Drosophila melanogaster: one gene and its partner. The protein of the gene in region 1 interacts with the protein of each later gene in a pairwise test. Each region holds a gene or a part of one and is shown in the gene's direction. Other genes may lie near its edges. The genes, in order: Gdi and mEFTs.

Region 1 (17,832 bases):
GGCCCTTCATGGCCGACTTAATGGGTCGCCCATTGGCTCCAACAATGGCTCCTCCGCCATGGCTAATTGAGCGGGCATGACCACGCGATGGAGCTGCCATCGCCACTCCGGGAATGCCTTGTCCTCCTCCACCAGGTGCGCTACCTACGACCGGATTGCCGCCTGGAAAGACATACGTACGCTCCGGCTCTCCCGCACCCATGGCCACACCGCCCAGACCCGTAGACGTTGTCATCATCAGGCTGGTGGTGGCCGAGCTGGCACTGGCATTCGGAATTCCCGATGACAGTGTGTCCCCGGTCAGATTGGGCGGTGCGGAGCGCTGCTGCTGCACTACTAGAAACTTTCGCCGCAAGTCTTCCGTGTTCGCTGAAGGCATCTTCGCGAGCCACAACCATCAGATTAAATTCTTCGGCCTGGCCACGATCTACGCCGGATATGTGTGGATTCTCTGCGTTTTATCTCAGTTAAAGTGAACTTTGTTTCCAATTGCAATCTACCAAGCTAACGAAAAGTTGATTCTAGCACCTGGTTACGTTTTTTGAGGGTGACCCCTTAGTTGCAGAGGCCATGATCTTCTGAAATGAATTAAAATAAATAAATAAGATATTGTTTTCAAATGGTAAATAATTTATCTATCATCTTGATAAACGAGAGATACGATTGCAGCACAGAAAATTCAATTCGATACAAATTATATCGGAGCTATGAAAACATAAAGAGTTTGCCTAATTAATGCCACAAAGTTTATCGAACCCGTCCGACGCACTCAAGCACCAAAAATACGAAAACGAAAGACAAAAATAATAAAATAAAAAAAAAACGAGAGCGTACGCTATAGTCGATTTCCTCGACTATCTGATACCCTTTACTCAGCTAGTTGGAATGCAAACAAGAAAGTTCAACAATATGTTTGGCATATCAATAGAAATTAACAAAAATAAAAATAACCGGAAACGCTTGCTTCTAACTTTTACATACTTTTCAACGAATCTAGCATACCCATTTAATCTACGACTAACGGGGGTATTAAAACGCGCATTTTAAGCTCGGCCTTGATTCAAGACTCGGGGCTTCCGATAATCCAAAAATTCAAACTGAAAGCATCACGAAAAGAGCAGTGGCGAGCACAAAGAGACCCACAAGGTCAAGCGTAACGCGGGTGCCGTGGAAATGGAGGCGTTTGCTACTCCAAAAGCTGCAGGTGGGTGGGCCTGCGTTGTTTTCTTTGGTTGGCCTCCTAGCTGCTTTTCAAGATTTCAAGCTCTCGATCGATAGCCGCATTGACAGAAAAAAGTTCAAGGTGTTCGAGGCTAAAAAAAAAAAAAAAAAAAACAAAACATTTATCACACTGGGGCTTGAACTTTGATTTCTGAGCTGTCAAATGTGTCTGAAACAAGGTCAACTATAATTGGAACCTTCTTTCATATTCATATTCGCAAGTGTTTGAAAACCCAGACTGACTGGTATCTAAATATCCGCGCGTGCAATTTCCTGTTCCTTAAATAGATTGTTAAGCTACAGTAGTCGTTTTATATGCTCTAGCTATTGCCAATTTCAAATCTGACTTCCTCTTGAAACGAAATATTTGTATGATTCCAAGAACGTTCAGTTTCTTCGAATTTAAATATAACATAAAAATACTTGAATAAATTAAAAGGCTTAATCGCTTTACATTACGTGAATGCTGGTATTTGCGAAGGCTTATCATTTCGAGCATAAGTTCTTTAAATCATCAATGAAAAACAAAAGAATAACGCCCAATTGGCATTTAATTTAATATCCAATCAGCGAAGAACTAATTTGTGAAGCCATTTCGAATGGCAAACTTGCGGCAATGGCGTAATACAAATACCAAATATGTATATACATGTGCATATATGTACATACATCCGATTGCGGTGTCTATATATGTACGTTTTATATTTGTGAATACCCGCAGAATATTCAGTGGGCACAAGAAAGCTAAAAATGAATTTGGCACACGACCGAGTTTAGCTATACGTTTTCTTTATACGATTTAAATTAGTAAAATCATTTTGGGCAAATCATAAATCACATGGTGAAGTAAAACTTTCTTTGTTGAATTTTTTTTTTGGGTTTAAATTCACTTTTTTGTAGTTCTGCGCGTAGTTTTATAAGTCATTTAGCTTTCATTGAATTTTTGACTTTGTCATGGCTGAAAACCATAAAAAGACGCCCCAGACAAGAATATGAAAACCAAAAAGGAAGCCAAGTGTAATAGAGAAAAGAACGAAACTTTTACCATGTCTGTCTGCGACTTTTAATTTTCCTTTCTTTCCGTTTTACGAGCCACAAGAAAAGACTTTCGAGTGCCAAAACTTGATTTATTTACTAGCCCGCGATGGGTTAAACGACCTCAAGAAGGCGGCGTCCAGACTGATAAGTTTACTCCTGCCCCGGCTAATTAGTGGAAGCCCCTTCAGTGGCCAACTTCAAAGTGCATTTGTATCTGGATGTGGACGTATCCGTATCTGGCTTTTAGCTTTTGCGGTTGTCGATACTTCCACCGGCAGCAGCAATAAGAAAAATTGAAATTATTTTTAGCCACGCACATGCGAAATAAAACGAGGAGATAAACAATTCCATCAGGCCAAGCCCAAAACCGGGTGCGATTACCACAATCGGTATCAAAATAAAAAAAAAAATCAAAAAAAAAAGCGAAGAGAAACGGGAGCATTACGATACAGATAAAAATAAATGGCGACTGTGTTGTAAAGTTCATTGGATTTTCAATAGCAACAAAACACAGATGCCAGATGTCCAAGATGCTCGTTTGTCATTGTTATTGAACTCGGGCGAAAAACGATTGAAAACCCAATTGACGAGGTGAAAAACTCACTTAAGAATCGCCCAGCAAATAATATTTCAAATCGCTTGCACATTTCGCATTTTCATTTAAGTGCTCACTTTAGTTCATTCAATGGTCGACCTTGCATTGAAACCACATTTATGGCCCGGTCAATTATAAAATAATTATATATATGTACATATAAAATGGGCAGGCGAACAATATGTTAAGTAATTATTATAATTCGAGGCTCATATCTCTTTTTGGATACAATGCTAAGTTTAAGTCTTTCAAATATTATTGTATATGGGTCTCAAGTTTGCAAAATTAATTCAAAACAATTAAAGGTCGAGACTAAAGAGTTCAAAGGTAAACCATTATTGAAAACTCAATGCGCAATATGAAATTGTTTACCAATTGTTTCACGTTGTACAATTATACAAATCTATCAAAACTTGAACTCAACCATTTGGCGAAAAGGTGAATTCGTACCAATTGTTTACAAATACAATGCGCAGATATTTCAAAAATGAATTTTTTTTCAGAATGATTAATGCATTGCAGAACTTGAGGCACGAAAAAAAAACATTGAAATTGAACTATTATTTGTTTAAAATTTTTTATGAATGTCATTTTTTGTGTAGTTTGCTCTACTTGCATATTTATTGCTCGTACTCGTCATTAAGTTAAAAGCTAAATTAATTATTTATCGGGTTCAAAAGCACTTCGTTGGCAGCTGTTGTGCCAGTTTTCCAGTTAAGATATTAATGTTCGTACAACGGGGCGTATAATTGATATAGCAATCCGAGTGATGAATAATTATTTCGACCGATAAGAACACACATTAAAATATACAAATATACAAATTATAGTAACTGCGCAGCGCAATCGTTTGTTTAAATTTCTGACTTAAATTTAAAAGTGCTTCGGATCTCAATAAACTATTTTGTAAATTTCAACTGGCATGTGGTATATAAATGTTATCAAGTCAACTAGCGCGACAAATTGCACACAAATCTTCAGCTACATATACTCTCTATAAAATCGTTCGTATGCTAATTCTGTTGGCCGCCTAATTAAGGCATCTTTGTGAGACTGAACAATGGAGTTGAAAATATACGATGCTTCGGCATTTGACATGGGAAACTTCCAACACTCTGAGAATATTCGCGCCAACTGGGCAAATTTCAGGCTAGCAAAAACGAAACACCCATCTCCACAAAGGGGCAACAAGTTTCGCAACTAATTAGAAACTGTTGACGGGGGCGCCTCCACAGCTTGCTATTGCTATCTATTCAATTACATCGTCACCAGTTGACTGACAGGGTTAATTTTTTCAGATGGAGCAGAGGTCGTGACGTCGAATCGCAGTTGGGTATTAAAAAAAATATGTATATACTCTAAGCAAAAATATATTTAAGAGCCTAAAAACTTAAGAAATAAAATAATATCTCCATGTGATTATTCATTAGTAGCAACCGTTCATAGTGTTACATCTTTTAGAATTTAAGTTACTTTGTCATGTTGTAAAGTAAATCTTGATGTTTTCTAGTGTTGGTCTTGGTCTATCTTAACTATAATCTATCGAATTCACGCGTCTCAGAACTCACGCGCTCATCGCTAACTAGACAACAACTGTGCACCTACACTTAATATTCGTTCTGATTGAAGCTTTGACCTAAGCAAAGCGCCCGAGTCCAAATTAACATACTAATGTATTCAATTATTCGCATTCCCTCCTAATTTACCACGGTGCCAGCAGAGATCGATTGGCTTTCGATACGAACTAAGTAAGTAATAAAACAATAGGCCCTTGCCTGTTGCCCCCTTTTACACCTGCTCAATCGCAAGTCATTAAAGTTAATGGCAAAAAGTTGGGTATATAGAGAAGTTGGGTATAACAGAAAACAAGCAAAAGTACTTCGTTTTCTATGAACCAGAAAGTGCAAGACAGTAAAAACAGCCAATGATTTGAGACGAAAACAAGAGTACTTCTAAAAAAAATTATTATTCTTTAAAGTAATAAATCAATAGGTGCATATAATATGTACTTCTGATTGGCGAAAATCGGAGATTGCATTATAAAAATCCAAGATATATTGCACACTATGCGATAAGGAAAACAGCATTAACTTAGCCAACAATGAGATCATATTGATGTTGAAGGAGATCCATTGTTTGTGGTCAGCATAAATGCACAGTTTTATAGAGATACACACAGATGTTCTCATTACTTGTTCTTTGATCTTGTTTGGTAAACACATGTGATTTCCCTTTATAATATTTTTAGAATTTGTCAACGTCTGGTGTTTGGCAATAAACAAACCTATTATATGTTTACATAACAAAGTACGGCAACTTATTTGTAAAATTGTACACTTAGGTTTTTCAAAGGGAAGTGGAGACTCGCTTTACTTGTCACAAACAAAGCAACAAAGAAACTTGCGAAAGATAAGAAACACCTTATAAATTAAGTGATAACCGATAAGGCACAAATCATAATGACAGCAGGGAGTTTTACGATCCCTATACATGCGAATCGACTATACCCAATCGCATATTTTATTATCCATTCCATAGCCGAAAACTCAATTCGCAGTCGAACCATGAGAACGCAATGTGTAATCAATTAAGTTAGGCCAGGAATAAATAGAAAAAAAAGTTTGCTTGGAGGGCCAGCGATTGCTACAAATAAACCAAACGTGTGACTACGCCACTTGAATGTTCAGTATGTGAATATAGTTCATATATGTGTACATATGTATGTAGTATATAGTACTCTGACAGCTGACGTAGTGATAAGGTAACGTAGCTAAAAAGCCACGCGATGTGGCCAAGCCACGTACTTCGTGCACCCAGATACATGTGGCATTTTCGCCGGAATTGGTTTATCAAAACTCACGCGTTTATACGAACAATTCTGAATTACACGTATTCGATCTGCAGGAATGATAACTTCTTGTAATAGGTCCATACCCTTTAATCATTGACCGTAAGGTTAACATATTTGTTGAAGAGTATGTTACATGTTATATTCCAAATTCTTTTTCAAGTGTTTATTATTTCAATTTAATTCAAAGCGCAAGATAAAAATATCAGAAGACCAGTAATAGGGTATCCCGTAGTCGAGGCAATCAACTATTACGTTCTTTTATGTGTCATTCCTCTAAATGGAAGTTTTCGACTGAAACTCTATGATTTACCCTTAAATTTCAAAATGGATTGAATAAGAACATAAGTACATATTTCTAAATCAAATGTAATAAGATTTAAATCTCATAAAACAATCTCAAACAACTGCTAAGTGGTTGGCTTAATAACTTTGATGATTGCGTGCACACATGTTGTGTGACTAGTATTTAGGCTAAACAATCATTAATTAGCTGATCGTCGGTATTGGATTATAAGGTCGGGATCAATTTGGGTTAGAAAAGCATTTAAACAATGCATAAGCATTAGTACGTTATGCGATTTCAGATTAACAACTTTACTTATGAGAAAATCAAGACTAAATACAATTTCGTATTAATTTTGTGCTATTTTAATGGCGTTAGGTGACAACTGTATGAGACACATGGCAAACAGTGGGTATATTTCGGCTATAAACATCGAATGAGCACTAAGCCAACCATAATCGGCGGCGTTAAACTGTAAAAACAGGAGATAAGTCGACTGCTTCCGCTGTTTCGCTTTGTTTCTGTCTCTGATTCGTCTTTTTGCTATTTCGCTTCGACTGCATCGCGAATTGCGGATTGTGGACTGCGAATCGGAGTCAATTGCCTCAAGCTCTGTCTTAACGGTACCTGGAGCAAACGAGAGCGATGGAGCGTCATTGTTTGGGGGGAAGGAGGAAGAGTGGGGGCGTGCGAGGGAGAGCGACTAATAGATTGCATGAAGCAGAGACAAACGAGCAAACAACGCATCAACAAACAGTTAAAAGTTGTTGTTTGCTCTCTGTCTTTCTCTCTCCGTCTCTCAACTGCAATTAGCAAACGAGTAACGTCAACTACCGTTGAACTCAATTGAATAGAAGACGAAAGGGAAGGGAGGTTGATGAAGAAATACCCAAAGACACCGTACAGTGGGTAAAAATAAAACAAAAAAAGGTCTTACAAATTAAATTTACAACACGAAATTAGAGTAACCGCTCCTCTTTGCCCCTTACAACGAATAAAATGCAGAGCAATAAAAAGAACGGCTTGGTGGAATTTTAAATATGTCACAGGTAAGAGAAATTATTTTTTCCCGCCAGGTAAGCAACGGAAATTTTTAACAGCTGCTAGCATCCACCGAATTGCTGATCGGCAACCATGTTTCCAATTTAGTCTCAACATTTCAGTTTAAATCAGCATGCAAAACATCTATGTATAAAACTCAGTATTTATTTTATAATGGCGGCAGATATTTATTCTTATTGATTCTACGTTCTATGTTTAATAGACACCATTTTGAAATTTAGAAAAGTTGTGAAACGTGATGTTAAATTCGAATTCAATTTTACCGTCTTAAGAAAGATGTTATGTCTCTAAAATATACCCTTAATATATGATTTTAGATGTATTATATTTTTAACCATGAGTGCCAAGGAAAACTAATTTTTAGCTCAAAATAGATTTTTACAATGTGGGGGTCGGTTTCACACCGACCTCGCATTTCACTTGCATTTTCTAGTCCCACTGTGCGCAGTGAGGCCAAGCATCTTTACTGCATTACAGTGCAAACGAATCCAAAGCCGCAGAAAAACAAAAAGCAAAGTTAAAACCGCGACTGTTTGAATCTATTTGCCTTTTATCAAATGCCGGTAAGACAAAGAGAGAGAGAGATAGAAGGGGAAAGAGGATGGAGAAGCCAGAACGATCGGAGGCTGTGTGAATGAGTGAGCGAGATGGATGCGAGCAGGTAAAAAACCCGTCGTATATTTTGGGAGGATGGGGGCCGAGGGCGGTGGGCGGGGCAGTTGGTCTGCAACGCCTAACTGGTTCTTGGCAACCAACTTGTTTTTTCTGTAGATTGCCGCCGTCTGTGCTTTATTATGTTTTTTCCCTCCGACTTTATGCCTGTGCAATTTTTAATATGGCAACTTGATTTAAACGAAAAACTTACCCAATAAAATCGTAGACGTGGATTTATGCTTGTTTTTCGATCAATTCAATTGCCTGCGGTTATTTTATCCTTGCCTTCGTGGGGGTTTTGTTTTATATTTTTTGTTTGAAACTATTTTTACACGGGGATGAAAACAACTTTTCAGCATGGCAACAATACAAAAATGTTGCAGCACATTCAAAGCAACAACAAGAACAACAGGGAGGTAACATATGATAACCGAGGTCAGGCGGAAAGTGTGAGCGGGACAGGAGATTATCTTTTTGTTTTCTATTTTGTATGTTTCCTCAGCGAAGGAATTACAATAAATAATTATTTCCCAAAGACTTTATTTCACTTGGAGCACAGCATAAAAAATCCCTGAGCCGCTCACTTTTTCACTTCCTTTTGTTGGGGTTTTCGTCTTTTTTTTCGAACTTATTTTTTGCCACGAACTCGAGGTTTGGTTTGTTGTTGTTGCTAAGAATTTCAATACAATTATGGCCCAAATAGCATTTTCACTTTTCCACACAAGCACGCAGCCACCGCACGCACACACACTCACACAAGTACACAGTTGTTTGGCTCCGTTTTAAATGAAAATATAATCAAACATTTACATTGCCGTGTGTTTTTGCTCCACGAAAATGTATGATTATGTATGATTAGTTTTCCTTGCTCGCTGCACGCGCGAAAATCCGACGAAACAAAGAAACAAGAAACGACGCGAAGAGAACGTAACAACCTAAATAAACCCGATACAAAAATCGCGTCCGAATCGGCTCGTCGTTTCAACCAAAATCACCAGTAAAACTTTGCAGAGGCTTCGGGATGATGTGGCCAGACTCGCTAACTGTGCTAACAGCTGTAAGAAGAATGCCCCTAGTTTCGGAATAAATGTCTATCGTGTCTCCGATAATAAATGTACGCAAATGTTGGTTTTCTTGAAATTATTACATACATTGAAAAGTCTAATTGCTTATATTGTATTCTCTTTAAAATAAAAAGTAATGAACGAATGCGTGAGATATGATATAAATAGAGATCTCCAGTAACTTAAAACTCGATAGGTAAACAGCGTTCAAATACTGTTTACAATAATTGCTGAATATCTTTTTATATTTTATATGATCGATCTGTGAATCCTCCGTTTTGTTATTTTATAATGTCTTGCTTTATGCAAGACCAACACATGCATTTAACAAATTTAAATTGCAACTATAAATTTGCGCGCGCGACATGCAGCCCTGAAATGTCAATAATCTAGGAAATAAACTTTTGCAAAATCATAATCAATTCAAAAATCTTGCACACACGTCTCTAAATCTTTCGTACATTAATGCTCTGTGTGCAAATTAAATATCTTATATGCTTGTTTGGTTATTTCCTTATTTCCATGTACAATTAGCAGCCGATAGCAACTCTTTCTCATGCAGCCCTGGGCATGTACGAAAACGTAACGTAACGTGACCAGCAAACGGCGTGACGGCAAACGGGCAGCGCAAAGCGGACGAGCGAAAGGCGAACGAGTAGAGAAAAATTATTGAGCGCAGAGAAAAGTCCACCAAATCGAACGTCGCAGCAAGTGAAAAGGGCGAAAACCGGATAAAAAAAATATATAAATTACTGTGATTGCAATATATAAATAAGTGCGATCCAATATGAATGAGGAATACGATGCGATTGTGCTAGGAACGGGCCTCAAGGAGTGCATCCTCAGCGGGATGCTGTCCGTGTCCGGCAAGAAGGTTTTGCATATTGATCGAAACAAGTACTACGGCGGCGAGTCCGCCTCGATAACGCCGCTGGAGGAGCTCTTCCAGCGCTACGGACTGGAGCCGCCCGGCGAACGATTTGGGCGTGGCCGCGACTGGAACGTGGACCTGATCCCCAAGTTCCTGATGGCCAATGGCCAGCTGGTCAAGCTGCTGATCCACACGGGCGTCACCCGCTATCTGGAGTTCAAGTCCATCGAGGGCAGCTACGTTTACAAGGGCGGCAAGATAGCCAAGGTGCCGGTGGACCAAAAGGAGGCCCTGGCATCCGATCTCATGGGTTCGTTAATAATGCTCTTTTAAGTCCCGTTGCCTTTTTGCTTGGCGGTGAGCCCCCCACGAAAAATTGTGCAAATTACCAGCTGTGCTTGTGTGTGTGCGTGGTTGTATGTATGTATTTTCGTACTCGACTGTTATCTGCTTCCCCTCTCTCGCCCGCACCACTCTCTTTCTCTTCTCTTCTTTGTCTGCCTTTTCACTCGCTGGCAAAGCTCTTGTTGTTGTTATTCCCTTTTTTTTAATGTGACACGTATGTGTGTGCCGAAAAACAGTTGTTTTCTTCGCTCGCCAAAGAATTTCTACCAAAGTTTCCCCCACACATATCCATTTCCACACCATGTTTGTTGGCCCAACTATTATCGCCCTATTCCGATTGGAGTCGAAATTTTAATCGCTCTGCGCTGATTCATACACCTGCCGCTAATTGGTCGCCTCCATTTTACACCTGAATTTCGCTTTGTTTGAAATTTAAGTTTTTCCCTCTTCTTCGTGGCAGCAATGCAATTAGCTAAAACACGCTCTATTTATTTATGATTGGCTCTTGAATTTTTCCATTTCAATTTTTACTTAGTTTTTGCAACCAGGTTTTTGGCCAGGCGCATTGAACCCCCTTCACTTTACAGTGGAGATTGCCTATAAACGAAAACATTTCATGACTTTAGATGTACTACATTTTTTAATTTTTGTCTTTAATTATCAATAATTTGCATATAAAATAGAAATTTTCAATGAAAATGTGACTATTAGGTAGATTTTACTTCCGTTTGTAACAATACCTATTGGATGTCTCAATTTGCTAATTGAAAGTTAAACACCTTGTCCATGCTTCACTGTGTCCGCATTACACATATGCTCGGAATGACGTCATGGGGTGGCCAAGTGGTTTCTGATTGTTGGTGGTGTGTCCTCCGCCCCCTAAATTGAAGGTTTCCCACTGTAGTTGCGTGCTGTTGTCCCAGTGAGTGTCTGTATGTGAGTGTTTGTGGCATGCAAATGAAATGGAAACGGGAAACTTGAAACCCTCGGGCTCGTGCACTCCCTTTATATGCAGATCCTGAACCCCAAACTGACCAATATGGCATTATGGATATACATATATAAATGTGACTTTACTTGCAGGTATGTTCGAGAAGCGTCGCTTCCGGAACTTCCTCATCTACGTGCAGGATTTCCGAGAAGATGACCCCAAGACCTGGAAGGACTTTGACCCCACCAAGGCCAACATGCAGGGTCTGTACGACAAGTTCGGACTGGACAAGAACACGCAGGACTTCACCGGCCACGCCCTGGCCCTTTTCCGCGACGATGAGTATCTGAACGAGCCGGCCGTGAACACCATCCGGCGGATTAAGCTCTACTCCGATTCGCTGGCGCGTTACGGCAAGTCGCCCTACCTTTATCCCATGTACGGCCTGGGTGAGCTGCCCCAGGGATTCGCACGTCTGTCGGCCATCTACGGCGGCACCTACATGCTTGACAAGCCCATCGACGAGATTGTCCTCGGCGAGGGCGGCAAGGTGGTGGGAGTGCGCTCCGGCGAAGAGGTCGCCAAGTGCAAGCAGGTCTACTGCGATCCCAGCTACGTGCCCGAGAAGGTGAGATTCACAAAAGATTTGTGTAAACTAGCCTATTAGTCTTTTGGAAATAACCATGTATTACATTTCTTTTATGTGACAGGTGCGCAAGCGTGGCAAGGTGATTCGCTGCATTTGCATTCTGGACCATCCGGTGGCCAGCACCAAGGATGGTCTCTCCACGCAGATTATCATTCCACAAAAGCAGGTCGGCCGCAAGTCGGACATCTATGTGTCGCTTGTGAGCTCCACTCATCAGGTGGCCGCCAAGGGTTGGTTCGTGGGCATGGTCTCGACCACCGTTGAGACCGAGAACCCGGAGGTGGAGATCAAGCCTGGCTTGGACTTGCTGGAGCCGATCGCACAAAAGTTTGTAACCATTTCGGACTATTTGGAGCCGATCGATGATGGATCCGAGTCTCAAATCTTTATTTCGGAGTCTTACGATGCGACCACGCACTTTGAGACTACTTGCCTGGATGTGTTGAACATATTCAAGCGGGGCACTGGCGAGACGTTCGACTTCTCCAAGATCAAGCACGAGTTGGGTGACGAGGAGCAGTAAACGGGAATGAAGGCCTCATCTGGTTATGGTGCATTTGGACAGCTCAACATCAGCCACAAACATCGTAGATCGTCTCAGCGTCGTGGCCAAACCTTAAAAAAAAAAATACCCAAGATAAGAAAACCCAAAATAAAAGCCCAAAAAAACTAAAGAAAACCGAAAATCCAGAAATTGTATTACGAAAATGCTTTCCATCGAGAGATGAAGTTTTAGATGTGAAACGAATTGCTTGCTTCGCGCAATATTGGATATGCCTAGAAAATATATATATATATATACCAATATAACATAAATTATACAACATGCAGTCGCGTATATATGTACGTCTATATAAATGTATAACTAAGTGAGTGTTAGGCAACTAAATCAAATTCCACAGATTCAGCTTGTGACTCGAGCAAAAGCGCTAGACTCGACAAACACTCTCCCATTTCGCCGATAGGCCAGTCAGTCAGACGATTACGCTTGGACTTTAGTTGTACGAGTATATAATAAAGTATATATATATATATAAAATATGACATCGTATATATATATTATCTATGTATATTGCCCTTCTGCTTGGTTTTTCTTTCTTTTTTTTTTTTGTGATCCACCCAATTTGTGTGGCTGCCAAGGCTCCAAACGAAAGCATAACACATACCTATAAACACGACACAAACTCTTACACATGCATAGTGCAGCATTATAATTGTAATTGTAATCCCCAGAAAGAAATCGATGGTATTGAAAATGTAAAACAGTCGAAAAAGTTCATCGCAGCATATACCCAAAAATAATGCAATTGATCGAAGCGCGGCAAACGACATATAAAGAGAACAGAACCTAAGAAGTTTGTCAATGGTATAGAGAACTATGGTATTCCGCATTTTCAGAATTTACATTTTTAATAAAAATTAAAAAAATATAAACATTTTTTTTTTTATTTACTATTTTTATATTGAGGGATGTTATGTTTGCTTTCCTTTCCCCAAAAGTCTGGTTTCTTTTCGGATTAAGGAATCTTGTCCTGGAGTTTTTCCACCGACTCATTTTATTGAACGTTTTCAGTTTCCGGTTCCGTTCAAAATGTCACTTGAGTTTTATAGCTACCAGCTTTTTATATGTCCTGGAGCTTTTCACCTTTCACACAGACTCATTTAATTTGAGATTTTTAGTTCTGGTTCCAGCCAAAGTGGCACTGAGTTTTGACGTCTTCAGCTTTTGTAACAGCCAAATGGCGGCAGATTTAAACTACATCAGTATGCACTGCAGTCCACGTAGTGACGAAGCGCACCATAAGTGTGTGCCAAGGCGGCTACTATATACACACAGAGAAATGAAAATCTGCTGTTTGACAGATCCTGGAAGAATATGGAAAGGATTTAGACGTATTCTTTGAGGTGACTTAGGATGGTCTGGTCTGTAAAGGAAATGGAAGGGATCTGGCCTAATTCTGGGTGGGATCAAGGAGGTATCTGTGTGGTGTCTTGTTAGGAAGGGGGACCTCTTAGTATAGAGACTCGGTTGTAAATAAAAATCTTTTCCAGACTCGCCATCCAAAAGTGACGACGACAGTCCGGGCGTTTCAGAGTTTGTTAGCTTTTCGCCGGATTTGAATCACGCAGCCATAGGGTTATAGTTATGACCAGGACTCCTCGTTGCCTCTTTATGTGACACAATTACGAATTCCGCAGCAAGTGTTTGGGATGCATTTGAAATACTTGCCCCCTTCCCCTCACCCTACTCACTCCGCACAAATCACCCCTTATGGCCGTGGTAAGTGGGAAATTCTTATTGAATTGCATGTGGCATGCCACACGAGTCGAAGGCTAGTTCGCTCACTTTGGGGTCCTCGTTCTTCGTCCTGCATCCTGTCGATGGCCCCAGGAATGTGCAAAATGCTGAGAATGCCGCTCTCCATTCCTGTTAGTTTTAATGCTGTCACTGACAGTTTGTGTTTTTTTTTTGTCCGCACTCCACTTCACTTTGCCCCGGCTTTTATTTTCCCAGCCCGCCGACGACGACCTGTCCAACAAAATGCCGCCAGTATTTTTCCAATTTCCGTTTCCCAGAAAAGGCAAAAGTGCAAAGACGTTTCGCATTATTTCGCTCTTGCCCAGAGTCGTTGAACATTGAACTCGGTCGCAAGTGCTCAGCTATTCTAGAAGTAAGCCTTACGTCTAGGCATCAACTATTCAAACTGATTTACTTTTTTACAATTACACATTCGCAATTGATTTTGTGTATAGAAATTAAAGTAAATTCTATAAAATCCCAGCTTAGCATTTACAAACCTAACAAGAACTGCACTCATAAATAATTCTAAGCTGGAAAGTTTTTGAAGCCAAGTCCGATGGACTTATGCATTATATCATTTGACCTGAAATATTGGAAAATCTCCTACGAATTCCTGTCACATTTGCCATCTGCAACTCTCTAGTTGCGGCTGATTTGTCATCGCTCCGAGGAATGGGCCCTAACTACTTTCACCATCCAACCCCATCTATTGTGGCTGTTGTCTCTGGTGATGATGATGATGATGATGATGATGGCATGCGGCTGATGTGGCCAAAACACGTCGTAGTCCCGATGCTGGTCAAGTCTTTCACCACATTTTTGCTGCTCCTGCTTCCGTCTTGACTGTGGTTTACGTTCGCTCTTTTTTTTGTTTTTTTTTTTGTGTATTTGCAAGATGGGTCGAAGCAACGAAAAAAAAGGAAAACAACATGAAAAAAGCGTAGAAAAACCGCCGGAGAAGACCAAAATTTGTAACTGGGCAAATTGAAGTCAAAACTTTGGCGCTCAGCGCCGCATGCAAGTCACATACAACAGCGGGTTGGGGGGTGGAGTTGTGCTGGATTGGCTGTATAATGGGCGTGGCTGGGGGAAGGGGCTGCAGCAGGGCATTTGGGTGAAGATAAAGCTATGATGTCGACGCAGCACTGGCAGGCATGACTAAGCTGCCAGCCCCTGTCCAAGTCTGCATCTATATTCGCGTCCTTGTTGTTACGGCTCCTGTTGGCCATGGTCAGGCTAACGAGCCCAGCTCTTACACTGCGAGAAATCGAAGTTATTCAAGCAATCGTGATTGCTTACATATCAGGCATGTAATAATAACATTAGCTACTTTTTTAATTAAGTTATAATAATAATAATGTCTCTTGTTATGCTCCGAGTTAACAAACTTTTTATAAGTGTACAAACTGATAGATAGTAATATTATCTATAAAATTGATCTATAATTTAAAACAAATATTTATTTTCTGTGCATGGGATCTTAATGGGTGGCAAAAGTGGCACCGCGTTGGGCTCGTAATAACAGCCAACCGCAAAGGGGCACACACAGATACAAAACACACACGCACACACACGCCCAGAAAACAAAAGCAACAAAAAGATGCCTTTGGGGGTCAGTTGACGCTGTTGGAGCCATGATTTGGCGGCTTAAGGACTATGGACTACGGACTACGGACTACGGACTACGGACTACGGACTACGGACTTTGGCCATGTGCATTGGTCTAAATTGACGCAGTGGACATGGCCGGGATAAATCTCGCACACGCAGATACATGAGCATTAGGTCAAATTGAATATAATTCTTGGGCTTTCCTTACAGCGTGATGTGATTAATTATACACGTTATGAATATAATGCAGCCGACATGTTGTCTCCTTCGCTGCCATCATCGTCAGCCGTCTCATCATTATCCGCAACGACATTCTGCGCTGAAAAGCTTCAGACAACAGCAGCAAAGAGCGGGAGTGAGTACACTGGGCAAAAAAGATTTGATTGCAAGTTAATTGCATTAAATGAACATATCTCAAAGTTAATGGTTTTGCACATTTTTACGAAATTTTTAAAGTAATTAAATGAAAGGATTTTAATTTCTTCCGCTTACTTACATACCATATATGTGTATTATAATTAAGAAAATGAAATATTTGCACACGTTGCCCACTTTACTTTTACTTTCAGTGGAGTTTTCCTTTTGGCTGCTTTTCAATTACTTGCATTTCCTATTCCCATTGTCACGGCTGCTGTTGCCTTGCATTTTCTTGCCTTTGGCCCACGAGCTTGTCAACAACTTCATTATCGCTTGCGACACTGTGCAACATCATCCGCAACCCCAAAAACCCCACCACCACCCCCACCACTCAACTATCTCCTTACTAGACAAGCAAATTTAAATCAATTAAGTAATCTTATTGCCACTGCTGCAGCTTCTCGTGTTGCTCCTCTGAAGATGCCTTCTGCCCTTTGCCATTTCGCTGCTGCCTGCTTTTAGGCACTACAAAACACTCGAACATACACCGAAAAAATTTGCATTTGCCAAGTTTGCAATTTAGCTATGTTAAAGCGGGGCACTTGCATTAAAATTCACTCGAATTCAAATAAAAAAAATAATAATTTAAGAGTCAATTGAAAACGTATAAGATTTATGTGACACGATTTATGCTTGCTTTAGTTTTTCATTCCAAACCATGTGCAATAATCTCAGTTAATAGCTTATATAAATTTCTCTCTGTGCACAGACAAAAACATTAACACACGCCCACACTTTTTATGTGTCAAGCATTATAACTGTGGCCATTTCTTCACATGTGTGAACGTCTGGCTTTATGTGTGTTTATGTGTCTGTCTGCGTTTGTTGGCTGGCAAACTTTTGCTGTGTTGCATATTTTGTGCAGATTAATTAAATTGCTGGCATGAAGCCGGTAACCAAATGGTCTGGTGGAAGGCAAGGGGCTAAAACTGAGAGGGGGGTTGGGGGGCGGGAAACTCTTTCGGCAAACTACGCTCACAGAGATTGAAGTGCATTATTAAATGTTTTTTCTTAATAATTCATGGATGAGAAAACTAAACAACAACAACAACACTTTCTCCCTTCCCATCGTTGCTCGCATTTTGAGAAAAGTTCGGTTTTCGCAATTAGTTAAAAAGAGCGGCGTGGCAAAAGTTTACTTTGTTTTCAATGAACTCGGGGAAATGCTTGTAAGTAATTGTGGTTCATTACGTAATAAAATATTAAGTAACTGTTCAATTAAATGTCTTGTGTGTACGTTTATATTGACAATAGTTGTACAAACAAAATACTCTTTTAAAAGCGGTAGAGAAAGTCGTGTGTTTTAAAAAATTGTTTAAAAGGCTGAAAAGATACAAGCTAATGGCAAAGTTCTGTATATTTAGAGACGGTTTTTGTTTAAATTCTTTTTTTGCCAATTTTATACCAATCCCTATGATTTTTTGCACAGACACATGAAGTTGAATGTAATAAATATATGACCATGTAAGCTTACCACGTTTTCGCCAGTTAATATTATGTTAACGCTTAACAGAGAAACAAGAGAGTTAAATCTGTTGTTTCTTTAACATCCTTTTATTCGCCATTGATTCGTTCTGTTATTTTAACATGAAAAATACTGATGGGTGGCATAAATATCTATGCAGTTTGTCAAGAAGACAAAAGAAGACAAAATTTAGATTGTGGTTTAAATTGATAATGATTTCTTAAGCTCTTTCGTTGAACCATCCCTGACCATATATGGTTTTTGATTAAGTGACAGTTTATTAAATGAGCTTGGCGTATAACTTAATATAAATCACTTATGATTAATGGAGAGTAAGCCGATCTTTTGAAACCTTTTGCAGTGGCCAATACGAAAATGTTAAATAATGGAGCTGTAATAACGGGAAATTTACCCCTTCAAGTAGAAGCAGTAAGAAATCAAAGAGCTTTATCCCCGCTCTGTTAAGCGCCAGC
Region 2 (15,947 bases), 8.0 Mb from region 1:
GACTTTCGTTATTTTCGTTATTTTCCTTATTTTCTTAACGCCTTTCACCCCCCACCCCCCCTGGCAAGACAACTTTGTCAGTTATTTTCATAAGATTTCGCGCGCGGTCGACTCAAAGGGCAATTCATTTCGTTTTTTTAATCCGCAATAAAGCCAAGGCATCCGTGAATATAAAAGTCCATATGTGGGGGCGTGATCCAGTTTGGTTGGGCGTAATTGCATGTCAATTGCACGCTTTTTTTGCGCCAAATGCGTTGCTGGCGGTTACAGGCAAGTTACACACAACACACTCGCATTCAATTATAGCAACTTTTTCTTTTACCCATTTTTTTTTTTTTTTGCCTGCCTGCCTGCCGCCTGCCTCCCTTTTTACAATGCGCACAATTTACGTGGCACTTGGTGCGGGTGTAATTTATTTTAATTAAAAAATTTGAATTTCCCACACGCTCGGAAGTTTCTAACTTTAAATTCCCGCCCTTCGCTTGCATTGGTTTTTCAACTTTGTCGAACCAAACAACGCATGCATTTCAATATCAATTACGCTACTCTGATTTTGCCTCTCAAAATCCATTTGGCTTAAGAGAAGTTGCAATTTCATCTGCATTGCTGTATTTTTTTCTTTTTTTTTTTTGCATAGAAAAAGCTAACGAAAAACGTGAAAAATGTTTCTATATTCTGCCTGGATTATACACTTTTAACGGATCAAAAGTTTCATTTGCCATTTATCGAATAGAAATCGAAGACTTTTATCGAATTTGACATTAGCATCATGGAGACTCACCGATAGCGCCAAAAGTTCGTCATGGATTGCACCTCCCGCCGCTCGGCGGTGTCGTATTTGCCACCCACGCCCTCCTTGGTTAGGCGATCGAGGACCGTGTGCCGCAGGACGAAGTCCACAACGGCCTTCTTCATGGCGAACACGTAGTCCGCCCGGACTTCGGCTATGTTTTCATTGAGTGCCGTCTGCCACTTGTAGAGCAGTGGTGGCACAAGATCGGTTATCCTGCAGACGGAAAGCAGTTAGCAAAAAAGCAGATACATTTGAAAGTGTTCAGTGGAACGCACCTCTTGAGGATCTTCTTGCTCAACGGCGACACGTGAATGGTGTCAATGCCATGCTTGATGTAATAGTAATATCGCAGAATCTCGCGCTCCTCCTGGTCGGGAAAGGGTACGGCGCACTGGGCGGCCAGCTCGGGATCCTGGTCGTCGTCCATGTGCAGGATGAGCTCCACCAGCTTGCGGCGGAAGTGCTCCCGCTCCAGTCGCATGGTCATGTAGTTGGCCTTGGCCACGCCGCTCTCACGCTTCTTCTGGCGTTTCTTCTGCTGTTTCTTCGCGCAGAGTATGTTGTCCGGCAGGTCGGATTTCATCTTGCCGTCCAGCAGGGAGCTGGCGCATTCCGGCATGTTCAGTTCGTACCACAGGCGACGCGACTTGTACTCCGGATTGGCCTTTGACTGCAGGATGCTCTGCAGCACATCCGGCTTGGGTCGCGTGTACAGCATCTTCGACTTCTCGCATAGGCGGCGACCGCCGCATATGGACGTGAAGCTGGGGATGCTGAACTCCCGATTCGGATTCTGTCTGCCCTGCATGTTGAAGCCTGAAATCGGTTCAACGTTCGAATCAAAATGTGACTACAGAAAATGAAAATTGTTTTCAATAATTGTTTTTGAAACATAAAACGATTGTATCCCGCCGAGTTATTAATCAAAGTACTATTTAAAGTAAAAAAAAACACTAAAATATTAATTAAGAAAATAACTACGTGCGCCAGAATTAAAAAAAAAACTATTTATTAGGTTTAAGTTTTAAATATTTGGTTTCAATCCATTTCGAATCGGTTGTAACCGGTAATAGGTTGTAACATCCACTAAACGTCATTTGGCCAACGATAGCGTCGCCACTATCGATAGTCGCTTCGCAACAGCTGTTCTCCGCACACGCGCCCTACCGGCTTTTTTGCCATCCCTAACAGCCGAATTGTGCAACACGGAAAATTGTCAAAATTTTCAGTTTCAAAATTAATTGCTCGAATTAAGCACACAGAAAAGCCGAAAACTAAACTATCGACGCTTACCAGTCGTTCACCTATCGAGGCACCACACTCGCTTTGGATTTATTCGCGCCGCAACGCGATTAATTTTTCTTGAACCGAAGCGAACATACGAAGGAGTTGAAAACAAATGCAAATCTCACACAGGCTTTTCCGTTGTTTAGAATGAATTGATTTTCCGGGCAACTACTACATAGCGACAGGTCGGAAAACGGAAAAACAAACAAGCCGGCGAGTTGCCCTTGACAGCAGGCAAAGAGCAACAATTCAATTCGCACACAAATCACGCTAGAAATCATTTTGGCCTCCCAGTAAATTTCGGAAATTTTTTGGAAAAATGCTGCTACAAAGGTTTTTCACACGCGCACTTCACTCCACGCGGCAGCTTTATGCCGGCTCTGGCGGATCCGGTGGCCTGGAGAAGAGTGCCCTGGCGGCGCTGAGGAAGAAAACCGGATACACCTTCGCCAATTGCAAGAAGGCGCTGGAGAAGCACAACAACGACGTCGGATTGGTGGGTAGTTGGCTAATAGTTTTATTGCAAGCGGTGCAGTGAGCTTTCCATTACAAAGAGCACGAAATGGGGATCTCTACATTTTGAAAAATTGCTGATTTTTCTATATTATTATGTAATATATATAGCTGCACCGCATGCAAACTCCTTTGTGATCAAAACACATCTGTGCTAATCAACTCACCTTGCCATCATCTCGCTCTTGCAGGCTGAAAAGTGGCTGCACGAGCAGGCCCAGACCCTCGGCTGGTCGAAGGCCACCAAGGTCGCAGATCGAGCCACTGCACATGGTCTGATTGGAGTGCTCATCCGCGGAAACCGGGGCGCCATGGTCGAGCTGAATTGCGAGACGGATTTCGTAGCCAGGAACGATACCTTCAAGCGGTTCGTTGACCACGTCGCCTGCATGTGTCTGCAATACACGGACTTGACGGACTTCGATGGAGATCTGTGGAAGGTGAGCGAGATTTTTATGGGAAATGTACACAATATTTGGATCAGAACCGGTTTTGCATCCATTCCTAAAGAAATTGCTAATTAAAGAATGTGCATATCCTTTCAGCTTGGCTTTGATGCGGACGCCCTCAGAAACTTGCGCACGGAGGAGGGACGCACGTTGGGCGACCACCTGGCTCTGCTGATCGGCGCCATCGGGGAGAATGCCACCATCCGGCGCGCATTGTGCTTTAAGGCTAACAACGACCTGAAGCTGGTGGGCTACGCCCATCCCGCACCCACCAATGTGGGCACCACGGAAGGCATCACCCAGGTGGGCAAGTACGGAGCGATCGTAGCCTACCGATCCACGCACCCCCTGCTGGACTTTGAGTTTCACAAGAGCATTTGCCAGCAAATCGTGGGCATGAAGCCGACAAAGATCGGCGAATATGACAAGGACAAGCCGGCGGAGAACAAGGACGATGAGACGTGCCTGATTCACCAGGAGTATCTGCTCGATGCGGACAAGACGGTGGGCGAGGCTTTGCAGGAGCACAACTGCGAGATCGTCGACTACCATCGCTTCGAGTGCGGAGAGCACACGGAACGCAGCCTGGAGGCGATCATTCGCTCGCAGCACCAGAGCAGCAATTAACTAGCCATTAAGCAGAGTCTAGAACACTAAATTGTTATTAGCACAACAGCTGAAGATTGTTAAAACCGAAATTCTGGACAATGTTCTGGTCAAAATTTGCATGTAAAACAAGTAAAACAACCATTACGATCAGATCTCCACCTCTCTTATTTGAATACGCCATACCCCATGAGTCATGGCAAAAAATTGGGGTGACCAAGGAGAATGCGCCTGCGCAGAACGGGAAGCACGCTTGAGCGGCTTCCGGTCGCTGAAGCAGTGGAACCCGCGGGAAGAACGGGCGAATGGACAACGCCAGCAGAATGAACTGTTTACAAACGTGTTTTTTTGTTCTGCTTCCCGTAATTACCCACTTGGTCATGCGATAGCCCAAAAGAAAGAGCAAAAAGAAAGGTTTTTAGCTTTGGGGGCAAAGGCAAAAACCAAGTGAGGGTTGGGTATGCCACTTGCTTGGGGCTCATGTTAAGGAAATGGGAGTACGAGTAGATTTGGCCAGGGAGGAAAATCAAAATAGAAGAAATGGTTTTCCAGCCCTAAGAAATTTGCAGCACTGAAATATTAGCTACTAAGTAGGCCTGTCAAATAAATCCCTTTCATTATCAACCATCGATCGTCGTTAGAGATTCAATCGCCAAAATGGACTACCTGGACATTGAATCCTTCCGCTCCAGGTACAGCGACATAACCGTCACGGCCGTGCCATCGCGCCCCAAGGCGGACGAGGAGCCAGCAATGGACACCAACCAGGAGCTAGCAATCAAGACGCATGTGCCACAAGTGGAGATAACGAGGGTGAGTGGAGCCGCTTCTGCTGGCAGTAGCTCCACTGCGAATGCAGCGATGATGCTGCGCAACAGGCAGCAGACAAACAGCGCCGCACTTGCCTACGCCAACGAGTACAAGGAGGTGATGGCCAAACTGGAGTACACCAAGTACATGCAGGCCCAGTTGCAAATAATGTCGGCGGCAAACGGAGGAGGAGGTGGTTTTGGCATCGACTCCGATCTGTTTGGCACATCTATAGGTAAGCAAATTGATAAATGTAACAATAGTAGTGGTTAAGACCCCACACTTTGCAGGTCTCGATGAGAACGCCAACATAGTGGACAAGTACTCCGATCTACTCAATGTCCTGGGGGAAATGCGCACCAATGTGCCGACCACGATGGCGGGTTTAAGGGCACCCAAGGAGCGCATGCAGCGCGATATAGCCCATGCCAGGCTGAAGGTGCGCCAGTGTCTTCAGCTCCTGCAGCAGGCAGAGGAGGAGACCGATCAGACTGACTTCCAGGGTGCCCCAGGCCAAGTGTGACGTCATGTGCATATGTACGTATGTACATCTCTGCATTGTTAACGACACCTCTCCGGGATTGCGAGTGCCACGACAATAAAAGACTAGAATAACAAAAGCCATCGGGGAGTTCTGGGAAGCCTCGCTGTTTATGGGTACGACTATGATGGTGGGGCGATGGTTTTGGAATAGCCAAATACTATGGCCATGTGACGGCGATAGTAGTAGCCGGCATTCTGACACAAGCGAGCAGCGAAGCGCGAAACTTGTCCACATGGATGTGGAGAATGCTAACCAACTGTTGATATCCTGTAATTGGTTTAATCAATTATTGAACTCATACGAAATGGGGTACTTACCAATGATCTGATGCACATTCGTACATCACTTTTTTAAATATCTATGTTCCTATGTTCATCCCTTTGCACGTATGTATATTTACTATGTAAGTATTCTTATTGTTTTTAAAGAATGTGTTATGCACACATGTAAGTTAAAATTTGTATAACATTTCCGTTGATGATTGAAATTCCTACCAATTCAAACCTGTTAGTCAGTATTTATTATTTTGCAGACATGCACTTTCCACATCTGGAATTTGCAACTAATGCCTGGCAACTGTAATTATCCAACTCTTTCTCATTCCGTTGGTGTACAAACACTTATAATTGTTACCTACGTACATATTTATAATTAAGCCGACCCAATGGTCGAGCATACCCTTTCAAATGTTGGCCATGGTCAAAGTGGAACTCGAAAGGGTCACATTCACCGACGTCGGCAGAGAAGCATACATACATAGCAAGTACATGTACATGTGTATGTCTGTATGTTACACTTAAGTACGTATGTATGCATGTATGTAACTGCGATCGGAGCGCTTCAATTGAAGTTTTTCACGTTCAGTCGCCAGTCGACTTTTCACGGGTTAAGTTAGACGTTAATGCCACCGATCAGCGAGCGGATCGCACGACTATATCCTTTTGTTTGACTTCCGCTTGACGTTAATTCGGGTTAATTTGTTTGGAAAGTGCGCAAATAAAGTTGCAGTGCCAAAAGACGCGTTATCACTTGTGTGGCGCTCTCTTTTTCCCACTAACGGTAAACTGTGCGAAGAAGCGCGCGAAAGCGAATTGCAAAAAAAGGCGGCCAAACAAAGCGAATGCCAAAAAGGTGACAGCCATAAACACAACAAATAGTCCGCGAAGTGCGAAAAAGTTAATTAGATTGTTTGCTTTTGGAGTTGCAACAACAATTGCACCTGCCCCATTCCATTTCTACACAAAAAAGAAACAAGCGAATACTCTAATTTGCATTGTAGCGCAGCCGCAAATTGGACCACAAAAATGCCGCCGTTTAATTTCATCAAGCAGGTGAGTGCAAATTAATTAAATAGGTGTTGCCACATTTTATGGCGCGAAATAATTAATTAAGCGCTTTGCGGCAGAAATCTGCGCTGGCGAGATGCATATGCAGCTGAAGCTGAAATCGATTAAAGTTAGGTAATCAAATCTACATACATATGTACATACAAAGGATATTTAGTGCTAACTTGAAGTACAGTGGTAACTCAAAGGGTGCACGAGGATAAGGAAGTGAACTTTAAGCCAAATTGATAACTTGATCGTGCTAAAATGAATTTATCCTTAAATCATTCGACATCTTCTTACGCATTAAATTCATATTAATTATTGCATCAACATGCCACAGGTGTTATCAAGTCTATCAAGGTAATGTCTCTGATAAGAGCTCAGCACTCCCGACCTTGCATCTTCGAATCAATTAATTGCAGATTCACTACTGTTCCAAGAATAAAAGTGAGCTGGGACAAACAGATAATTAAGAGCACACTTCGTGTATCTTCACTTTCCGTTCAATTCGAGACGATGGATATTGGATACCAATTTACCATATCTTCGAAAGACAAGCGGCACACAAAATACGTGTCTAAACGTCGCACTCCAAACAAAGAAAATGTTATACGGGAAATGGTAAACCAATTTCAAATGGATTCGGACCAAGACTAATGAAATGCACAACGAAAATGGATTCATTCGTGGCGCCCAGCTGGAGACCCCGAGATGTGGTGACCCCAAAAGAGATTATGCGTAATTAAGCGGGCTTCTGGCGATGCTTGAAGATAGCTTCCGGTGATCAAATGTCAGAACAGAAACGAGATCTTGGGAGAACAACGACGCATTAGCACGAAACCGAAGAAGCAGCATCTACATATAAAGCCAAACAAACCCATAAAGGTGGGAAGAATTTCTACGCAACTGGTGGCCCAACCCGTCCGCAGCTTTCTTTATGTTTTTTATGGCTTTTTCCCCACTAATTTTGTTTTGAATCTTGGTCTTGGCCGATGGACAGTGGTTGGTTCAGTGCTACAGATTATGATTATAGCCCGGCTATCTTTTAAGGGCCTGCCTAATGAATTTCCATGCAAACGCTTTTCCCAGTCGTCGTGTGATAATTAAGACGAATGACCCCTTAGTTAGAAAGTTATTGCAGCACATCTGCTGTGTTTGTGTTTCTGTATCTTTGTGTTATTTTTTTTTTTTTTTGTTAAATATATTATCTCAGCGCAGCTGAACCCGAACCGAATCTGGTTATATTTGCATTATTCAGTTTTTAACTGAGGGTTAATTGCATGTTAAGTAACAGTTAAGTAACCGTTAGGCTGGATTTATTTGCTTATGACTCCCAAAATGCTCAGCTTCCAGCGCAATTGTTGTCCAACTTTTCACTTCCTACGATTTGAATGAAGAAATTATTTTTGAACTCTTCGTGCTTAATTCACCCACACTTAACTTTTTTTTTATTTTATTTTTTTGGCGTGGGAAGCCTACAATACCAAATTGCGGTTTCGAGTGGCAAACAAAAAGCGGGGAAACAAAAACGACAAAAAAAACTGGAAAACAACATTTGCGGTAGCTACTTCGTGAAAAGCGCAGCATAACTCGAATGCGGCTGTGGAAAATCCAATTCGATTTCAATCCAAAGATCGAACGCCTTTCAAAACTATTATGATTTGTGGTCTCCAGCTTTGTTCCCGCCTATCGCAGCTAATTAACCATTTATTAATGCTAAATCAAAAGCACTGCCAGCCAGTCAAAACACCTGTTATTGTTATTGATATTCGGATTTTGCCATCCGATCTGCCGACGTGTTTGGCCTCATAAAAGGCTACAGGTGGCAAGAAGTCCAATTAAAAAGAGCGTTGTTGCAACGATCTTCTTTTCCTGGAAATATAAATCCTTAACATAGCTTTACTTTAATTAGGTATTTCTTTGCTAAACATCTTGATTTACTTGTCTATCGCGCAACGTAAGCTAATTTGGCCTAAAAATAATTTTAAAAATATATGTATATTCTATTTATCTTGTTTGAAATCTGTAATTATAAAGAAATTATAAAGAAATATGGTTAATATAAGTTATTTCCTTTAAGCTTAACTATAAGTATCTATTAAAATACAGAAAATAAATGCTGTAACTTGTATAGATACAACTTTTAATTGTTCAGTTGCTAGCCATCCCGTTATGTGTGAGTTATGTTAAGTTATACGTTTTTTATGTCTTTATCAAGTGTCGGGTATATATTTAAAATGTCATGTAAAAATCGTTTTTCGTCAGTGATATATGGCATAATATTTCCAACCCACCTCCACTTAACAATACATCGATCATGCCTCAAACTGCCAGTGGAGATTCCCCCCATTGAGAGGAGTCTGTCTGGGACCTGAATCTAGACCAGAATCTGGATCTGGAGCGGCTGGCAATTAATGTGGTCTGCTTTTAGCCCGAAGATCGAGTGGCCACTGACAGCAGCATGCTTGCCATTCCTTGGCCATCTTCAGAATTGGCTAATGAAAAGGCTGGAAAAGAGCAAAGATCCATTGGCACAATCACCGCTAGAGGAAAACATTGGAAAACAATGAGAGAAAAAATAAAAAAAAAATAAGATTCAAAAGCGGTACTTTGCCGGCTGGCCGTTTCCCGTTGGCAGTTGCGGAAAATGAAAATGCCACAAGTCGATGTTGCATTATTGTGGCGCTTTTCAGACGCTTTTCCAGACTTTACGTAAATGTCGCGTGTGGCCACAAAATGGTCTTAATGTGTTTCTCGCAACAATGAGAGAGGCAAACAACAATCAAATGGTTTGCTGCCTTTTTTTCGGCTTAAAAGGAAAAGTCAATTGGCCTGGTCGTTCGTCTTGTTGCGGGTTGACGTGTGTAATTATCATAAATCGTAAATTGCAATTTTTCATCATGCTAAAAGTCGCACATTTTCAGCTGTATACAAAAAAAAATGCTTTGCATTTACAATTTACATTTTCATATACAATTGCTTTCATTTTTTAGTTATGTTTCTCGCCATTTCCCCAGTTCACGCCTCAACCTCAACGGTTGATTGAACTTGTCAGAGTTTTGAGTTGGCCAGAGTTGGGGAAAAAACATCATGGAAACATGAAACATGGCTAGCAAAGAGAGTTGTGTTTTTTGGTTGGTTTTGAAAGGCATCGCATTGTCTTGCCAAGATGCGGATACGTGGATATGTGGATACGCAGATACGAAGATACAAAGCTACAAAGATACACAGATACACGGTTCTCTGGGCCAGACCCATTAGTGTCATTCACGCTTTGGAACACACTGGAAAACCATTTCGACTCATTACCGAGTCATACACAAGACATTTTCGACTTAATTGAGTCGAAACTCGGCTCTGAATTGCTAAACAAATCGCTGCCAAATTGTTCCCCCGAAATAATTTAACCACATTTCTCCGGCGCAGTTGGTACACCCCATCCTCGATCCCCAAAATCGCCCTCCAGTCGTGTTAATTATGGCCATCAAATGACCGTCTGCCAATCTCCAAACATAAATCATAAAAGTGAGGACTCAAGCCAGTCGAGCGCGTCAGCTCGGTTGACAAAAGCCGTAGGAAACCCGAGAGATGCAAATCGATGGAATGTACAACACCGATGTGGACATAAGTACTTCCCCGCCAGCCGAGCTCCACTGTTTGTGCTTGATTGCCTGCGGAGAATGTCGGTGCAGCAGAAAGTGTGGAGTCAGTTTCTGGATACAAAACGATGAAGTGGAGTTCACCTGGTAGAAGAATCAATGCTCTATTAATGGAGCATCGAATGTTACTAGTTCTAAAAAGGTTTTTTACGCATTTAATGCATACTTACATATTCCTTAACGAACTTTAATGCTATAGTTCACATATTTTTGAATAAAGTTCAAGCTTTATGCAAAAATGCAAACATAAATGAATGAACTAGCAATTTCACTTATGATTTTTCAACACATTTCTGAAACCCTTTGATATCAAACTCCTGCCATTAGCTGATGGAGCCAGCAAAACTCGCTCACACAAGCAATTGTTAATCCGCAGAGAGCTAATAGAAGGAATTAGCAAACACCCCGTAAGAATTTGTTTAGACCCCGTTTGCCAGCCTGTTCCCCTTAGCCTTTAGCCCAGAACTCAGAGCTCAGAGTTTCGTTGGCCCAAGACCAAGAGCATGAGCCAGGCCAAGTTAAGGAAACGGCCAAGAAACCGCAACAAAGTGCGCTGCGCTTTCTGCTTTTCTCAGCCAGTTCGGTTGGAAACTGAAAGGTTGTGGAGAGGAAAACCGACAATCTAACTGATAATTTTCATTCATTTCTGAGTCACACAGTCAGTCGCTGGTGGTGCTTCCCACTTGCTCATTTGGCTCGAAGCTGTTGTACAGCGATACACCAAAGCTGGCCTGGCCATAAACTTGGAGCGCGGCATTTCGAGGCGGCCAGTCTGCAGTTGGCTTTCTGCTGGCAAAGACGCTTCGCAAGAGACTCGGGAAAATCTGCTGTGGAAAAAAAAGAACGCGAATCGCGAGTGTCTGTTAAAACGAAAACGAATCGAATTGAATCGAATCCAGGCTAGCATTTGGCTTAACTTTCAGTTTCGCCTCTATTTTGGCTACGTTTTTTGGGATATCAACACCCCCATTCAAAATTTTTTTCGAATTTTATGTATCGTGATTTTTTGAGCGAACCGATCGCTCTCAAAACGCTGCTGCGTGTGTGTTTTTGAAGTGAGTGTGCGGCAGCGACATTCGCTTTTCAAAAGCGCTGGCAAAACGAAAACTCGCAAGGATTTCACTTTGAGCTGCGCTGCTGCCGGCTTCCATCGGAATTGCCATCGGTTTTGTGGGGAGGGGGAGACAAATCAAAACTAGTTCAAGGCAGCTGTGCTGTATCTTTCAGATACAGATACATCCGCGCACATGGAGCTATCGCTGTCACCAAAAGAAACGGTAACTACAGGCTTTTCATTATGCATATTTCGCGTCTCGAATCTCTCCCATCAGCTCTCCTATATTTACCAGTATCTTGGCCAGCCTATACAAGTTTATTTAGCAAGTTTCAGCTGTTAATTACGAGCTGGCAATTATTTGTTTATCAATTACAATCAATTTTAGCGCCTGACGATGGTGTTTGCCCAGGTCTTGTAAGAGATTTGTTGACACCATTATTAGGGGGGAAATTAATAAAGATTTTCGCAAGGAAATTGACAGTCTTTTATTTGATTAAATCAATTGGGCAAATCACTTGCGGCAAATTTAAAATTAATGTATAATTCCTTGTAATACTCAATACTTCTTCCTTAAGTAAAAAAAAAAGGGTTCGATTTCCAAATGAACTTCTAAATTTTCATACCTTGTGCAGTAAAAGTAAGTGTGGTCCAAATTCTTCAAATGTTTAAAACCATCGATGGCCAGCAATTAAACTTTTGAGCATCATCCATCAAGTTAATAGCCTTACCGCAAGGAAAGTAAAAATTTAACACAATAGCTGTCTTAAGATAGATGGGTATCTGAAATTATTTTTAACATTCTATTCAGAACATTTCGGCGATCAGCTTTCGCTTAGATTAATGCTGATAATTGGCGGCTGTGAAAGTCTCTGCTGAAAACAAAGTTTAAAAAAAAATGTTATAATTTGCTAAGCGCTTGACAGAGAAAATTGACTTTTTGTGAGAGAGCATGACAAATGTAGTTTAGCTGTCGGCAGCGAAGATCAATCAATCATGATGGAGCCAGAGAGCTGGAAAACCTGGTTAACCCAAGCGCCCAGTTAAAGTAATCCGAGTTATTTCACCATTCGCGCAGGCGACAATTAAAATGCTTTTATGTTATGTGGTGTGTGCAGCGCATTTTATGCATTGCTTATTTATGAGCAGACCCAGTAAAAGGCAGTCATTAACTATTGTGATTTCCATGAAATGTCATTTGGTGGGAGTAGCAAACGCTGCCAGGCGAAGCATGAACTCGTCTTTGGTCACTGAGCACGCCACCATGTAATCACAAATGAAACGCGGCACACCAGACTCCGATGTCAAAACATTAATTAGCCAAAGAGGCAGCCTGCCTATTGACCCCAAACCGCTAGCCGAGATCACGATTGAAATGAAGATGAAGATGAAGATGCAGTGCGTCTGTGCCTATTGTATGCGTATATGCAACCACTTTCCACTTTGCTGCGTTCCATAAATAAATAAAAACCTAATGTTCGACGGCGGCCAACAAAAACTGGCTGCACCACCAACGTGATGTGGTTGGATGTGGTTCACGGCCCGCCCCTGTTCACTTTTGGTTTTCACTATCACTTGCGCCTCCTCCAATCGGATGCAGAGCACTTCTGCAGACGGGTTCGGGTTTGGGGTTTCTGGTTTTCATTTTTCTTTTGCTAGTTTTGAGCAATTTCTTTATCCTTGGCGTTGTGTCTCAAGTGTCTCATGACAGCAACAATTGGCGATCGTTTGAAAGGTGTTCAATGTCGTGGCAAGTGCTGTTCATGCAACCTGATTGTGACATTGTCACCAACTTGCAGTGAAAACGGGAGCACTGAATGGTAATTGCACATGAAATTTCGTTTAATAAACCTGACTTATTCGATTGGTTCGAGTTGCGTGCCTTTAAGTTGAAGTGCATAATCTCAGGAAAATCGAGAAAAGTAGCCAAGAAAAGGAGTGTCTTTTTCCCATGTAATTTTGAACTCTATTTTCGGACTAAATTAGTAAATTAAATCATCATACGACTGTGTTCCCTTCATAACATATTAAATAGAATACGTAACATCATAATATACCATTAAATAGCATTAAATTCAATTGAACGATCTAAAAATCTTATTTACATATTTACATATTTAAGGAGATCCGTCCCAACACCATTCCGGACTTAAAGGTGGATGCCACATTTCGGAAGGTGGCTAAACATGCGATTACCTTTGCGATTTGGAAGATAGACGAGGATCGCCTGGAGGCGGTACAAAGATCACATTATGGCACCTTCTACGATAGCTGCGCCTACATTATCTATGCAGCAAGTTTGTCGGGGCATTATGCCAATCACGAAACCATCGTAAGTAGTTGGTTTGGCTTGTGTTTCAGCAAGGTTTTAACTAATGCTCATGTTTACAGACACGCGAACAGAAGCCGAATGTGAGTCTTGAGCGATATATCCACTACTGGCTGGGCAAGAATGTTAGCGAGCAGAATCGATCCAATGTTGTTCATAAAATCCAGGAGCTGGACTCGTATCTGGGAAACATATCCTCTATTTACCGAGAGACCCAGAATCTGGAGAGTGCGAGATTCCTTTCGTATTTCAAGAAGGGTTACGAGTGAGTTAAAGTTCTCTGTTCTCTCTCGCTGGGAAGGGAAATAATACAGATTTCGTTTCAGTGTTCGATCGGGAGCACTAATAAGCGCGCCCCAGAGGCCACGACTTTTTCAATTGTACGCCCGCAAATGGTTGCGATCCATTGAGGTGGCCACCATCGATTGGTCGCACTTTAACTCGGATTACGTAATGGTCCTGCAAACGGATAATCTTACCTACGTCTGGATAGGGCGCTCCAGTTCAGGAATTGAACGACGAAGTGCCCTCGACTGGGTCCAAAAGCACTGCAGTGGATCGCCAATCACTATAGTCGATGATGGATATGAGCAGGCCATGTCCCAGGAGCACAAGGAGCTGTGGAACACCATGCTTCCGCTAAAGAAACGCATGGTCTGTCAGGCCAGTCAGTTGGTCAGCGAATACGCCGACTACAATAGCAATAAGTTCCGCATCTATAAGTGCAATCAACGGGGAAGGCTGCACCTGGATCAATTGGATGTGGGCATGCCAGCAAAAGATGATCTAAGCGATGCCCATGGAGTCTATTTACTGGACAACTACGGCCAGAGTATTTGGTTGTGGGTAGGAGGCCAGGCACCGCAGGCAGATGCCCTTTCTGCCATGGGAAATGGGAGAGCTTTTGTTAAAAAGAAGAAATATCCGGATAATACGTTGGTGGTGCGTGTCCTCGAGGGTCACGAGCCCGTGGAGTTTAAGCGTCTCTTTGCCAACTGGTTAAATGTTTGGCAGGAGAACACCAGGGGACATAAGCCAGTGTCCACAAAGTTTGGAAAGCTAGATGCCCATTCCCTATGCGAACGCCCTAAAATGGCTGCAGATACACAGCTCGTTGATGATGGCAGGGGTGAAAGAGTAATCTATCGTGTCTTCGGAGATCAGGTGCAAGAGGTGCCCATCTCAAAAACGGTTGTGTTCACCACCAATGCCAGTTTCGTGGTCAAGTACAGCGTGCAGGTAAGATAATAAGCTTAAGTTCTGTGTACAATCCAATAAATTCACTTCATCTTCAGTGCGCCACCGTTGTTCCCGCAGATTTGGCCTCCGTTGGCATTAAAACAATCATCTACCAGTGGAATGGTTCGGAGGCCTCTGTAGAGTCCATTTCCCGGGCGGACAAGTTCGCCAAGGCCAGTTTTGATGGGCTCAAGGAGCCTGGAATGTTTGTACAGCTCTATGAGTTCGATGAACCACCGCACTTCCTTCAGATCTTCGAGGGAAAACTTATTATCAGGCGCGGTCAGCGTACCGAGATGCCTTACAATGGTAACTCCAATGCCTTGCTGGACACCTTTCTGCTGAAAGTTTATGGCGATGCTAGCTACAATGCCAAGGCTGTGGAGGAGACACATCTGTCATCGATCAGCTCCAAAGATTGCTATGTGATCAAAACGAATCATGTTTGGGTGTGGTGCGGGCAAAGTAGCACGGGAGATGCCCGCGAGATGGCCAAAGCAGTGGGAGCTCTGATGGGGGAAAACTCTCTGGTCCTCGAAGGCAAGGAAAGTAAGGAGTTCTGGCAATCGGTGGCCATGTACTTCAACCAAACTCTAGTGATCAACGGAAATGGGAACTCATGTTCCAGCAGCACCAGTAGCAGCAGTGGCGCCGGCAGCATGTGCAATGGTAGCTCCAATGGTGGTAACATTTCACCCACTCTCAGCAATAATTGTTACCTAAACACCAGTGTTCCGAGTAAACCGAGACCTCCTGTACAACTATTTCTGGTATGGTGGCAACAGAGTTCGCTGAGATACGAGGAGATTCTCGGATTCGATCAGCAGGATCTCAGTTCGGATTGCACCTATATTCTGGACACTGGGAGCCTCACCTACGTCTGGCTGGGATCGCAGGCCCCAAACCAGGAACGCTACACAGCGATTGCCCAAAGTTATGTCCAAAATGCTCCATTCGGACGCAGATCAGCGACAGCGTTGGCCGTGGTCAGGCAGTTTCAGGAGCCAAATGTTTTCAAGGGATTCTTCGAGTCCTGGCAAAACGATTACGGCAAGGTAATCCATAACAAAAGGGCTCCAAGATTTCAAATGTTAACCAACTTATTTTGTATAACTTTAGAACTTCCATTCCTACGAGAAAATGCGCAAGGATCTGGGAAATAAAGTGACCAGCAATTGTTGCTTCGCAAGCGAAGGATCGGCTCTAATCCTGAACAACAGACAGAAGGACTTTGATGGTCACAAAAAGTATCCATTAACCGTGCTCATCCAGGAAATGGATATGCTGCCACCAGATATTAATCCGCTCAAGAGGGAGGTGGGTTCAACTAAACATA

The links.
Region 2: the proteins of Gdi (region 1) and mEFTs interact in a two-hybrid assay, tested with the Drosophila melanogaster proteins (one large-scale study listed by BioGRID).

Annotation. Positions count from the first base shown.
Region 1 is NT_033779.5:9,486,339-9,504,170, reverse strand, and holds Gdi (GDP dissociation inhibitor), read left to right. Parts: upstream 1-9,294; 5' UTR 9,295-9,555; coding exon 9,556-9,949; intron 9,950-11,067; coding exon 11,068-11,543; intron 11,544-11,625; coding exon 11,626-12,087; 3' UTR 12,088-12,995; downstream 12,996-17,832. Other genes in the region: CG33298 (uncharacterized protein), read right to left, coding at 1-379.
Region 2 is NT_033779.5:17,487,121-17,503,067, reverse strand, and holds mEFTs (mitochondrial translation elongation factor Ts), read left to right. Parts: upstream 1-1,961; 5' UTR 1,962-2,399; coding exon 2,400-2,576; intron 2,577-2,784; coding exon 2,785-3,033; intron 3,034-3,138; coding exon 3,139-3,669; 3' UTR 3,670-3,800; downstream 3,801-15,947. Other genes in the region: Dhc36C (dynein heavy chain at 36C), read right to left, coding at 782-1,006, 1,069-1,601; CG15142 (uncharacterized protein), read left to right, coding at 4,306-4,693, 4,749-4,981; qua (quail), read left to right, coding at 11,237-11,266, 13,166-13,375, 13,435-13,637, 13,687-14,611, 14,668-15,666, 15,731-15,928. UniProt on the Drosophila melanogaster protein: Associates with the EF-Tu.GDP complex and induces the exchange of GDP to GTP. It remains bound to the aminoacyl-tRNA.EF-Tu.GTP complex up to the GTP hydrolysis stage on the ribosome.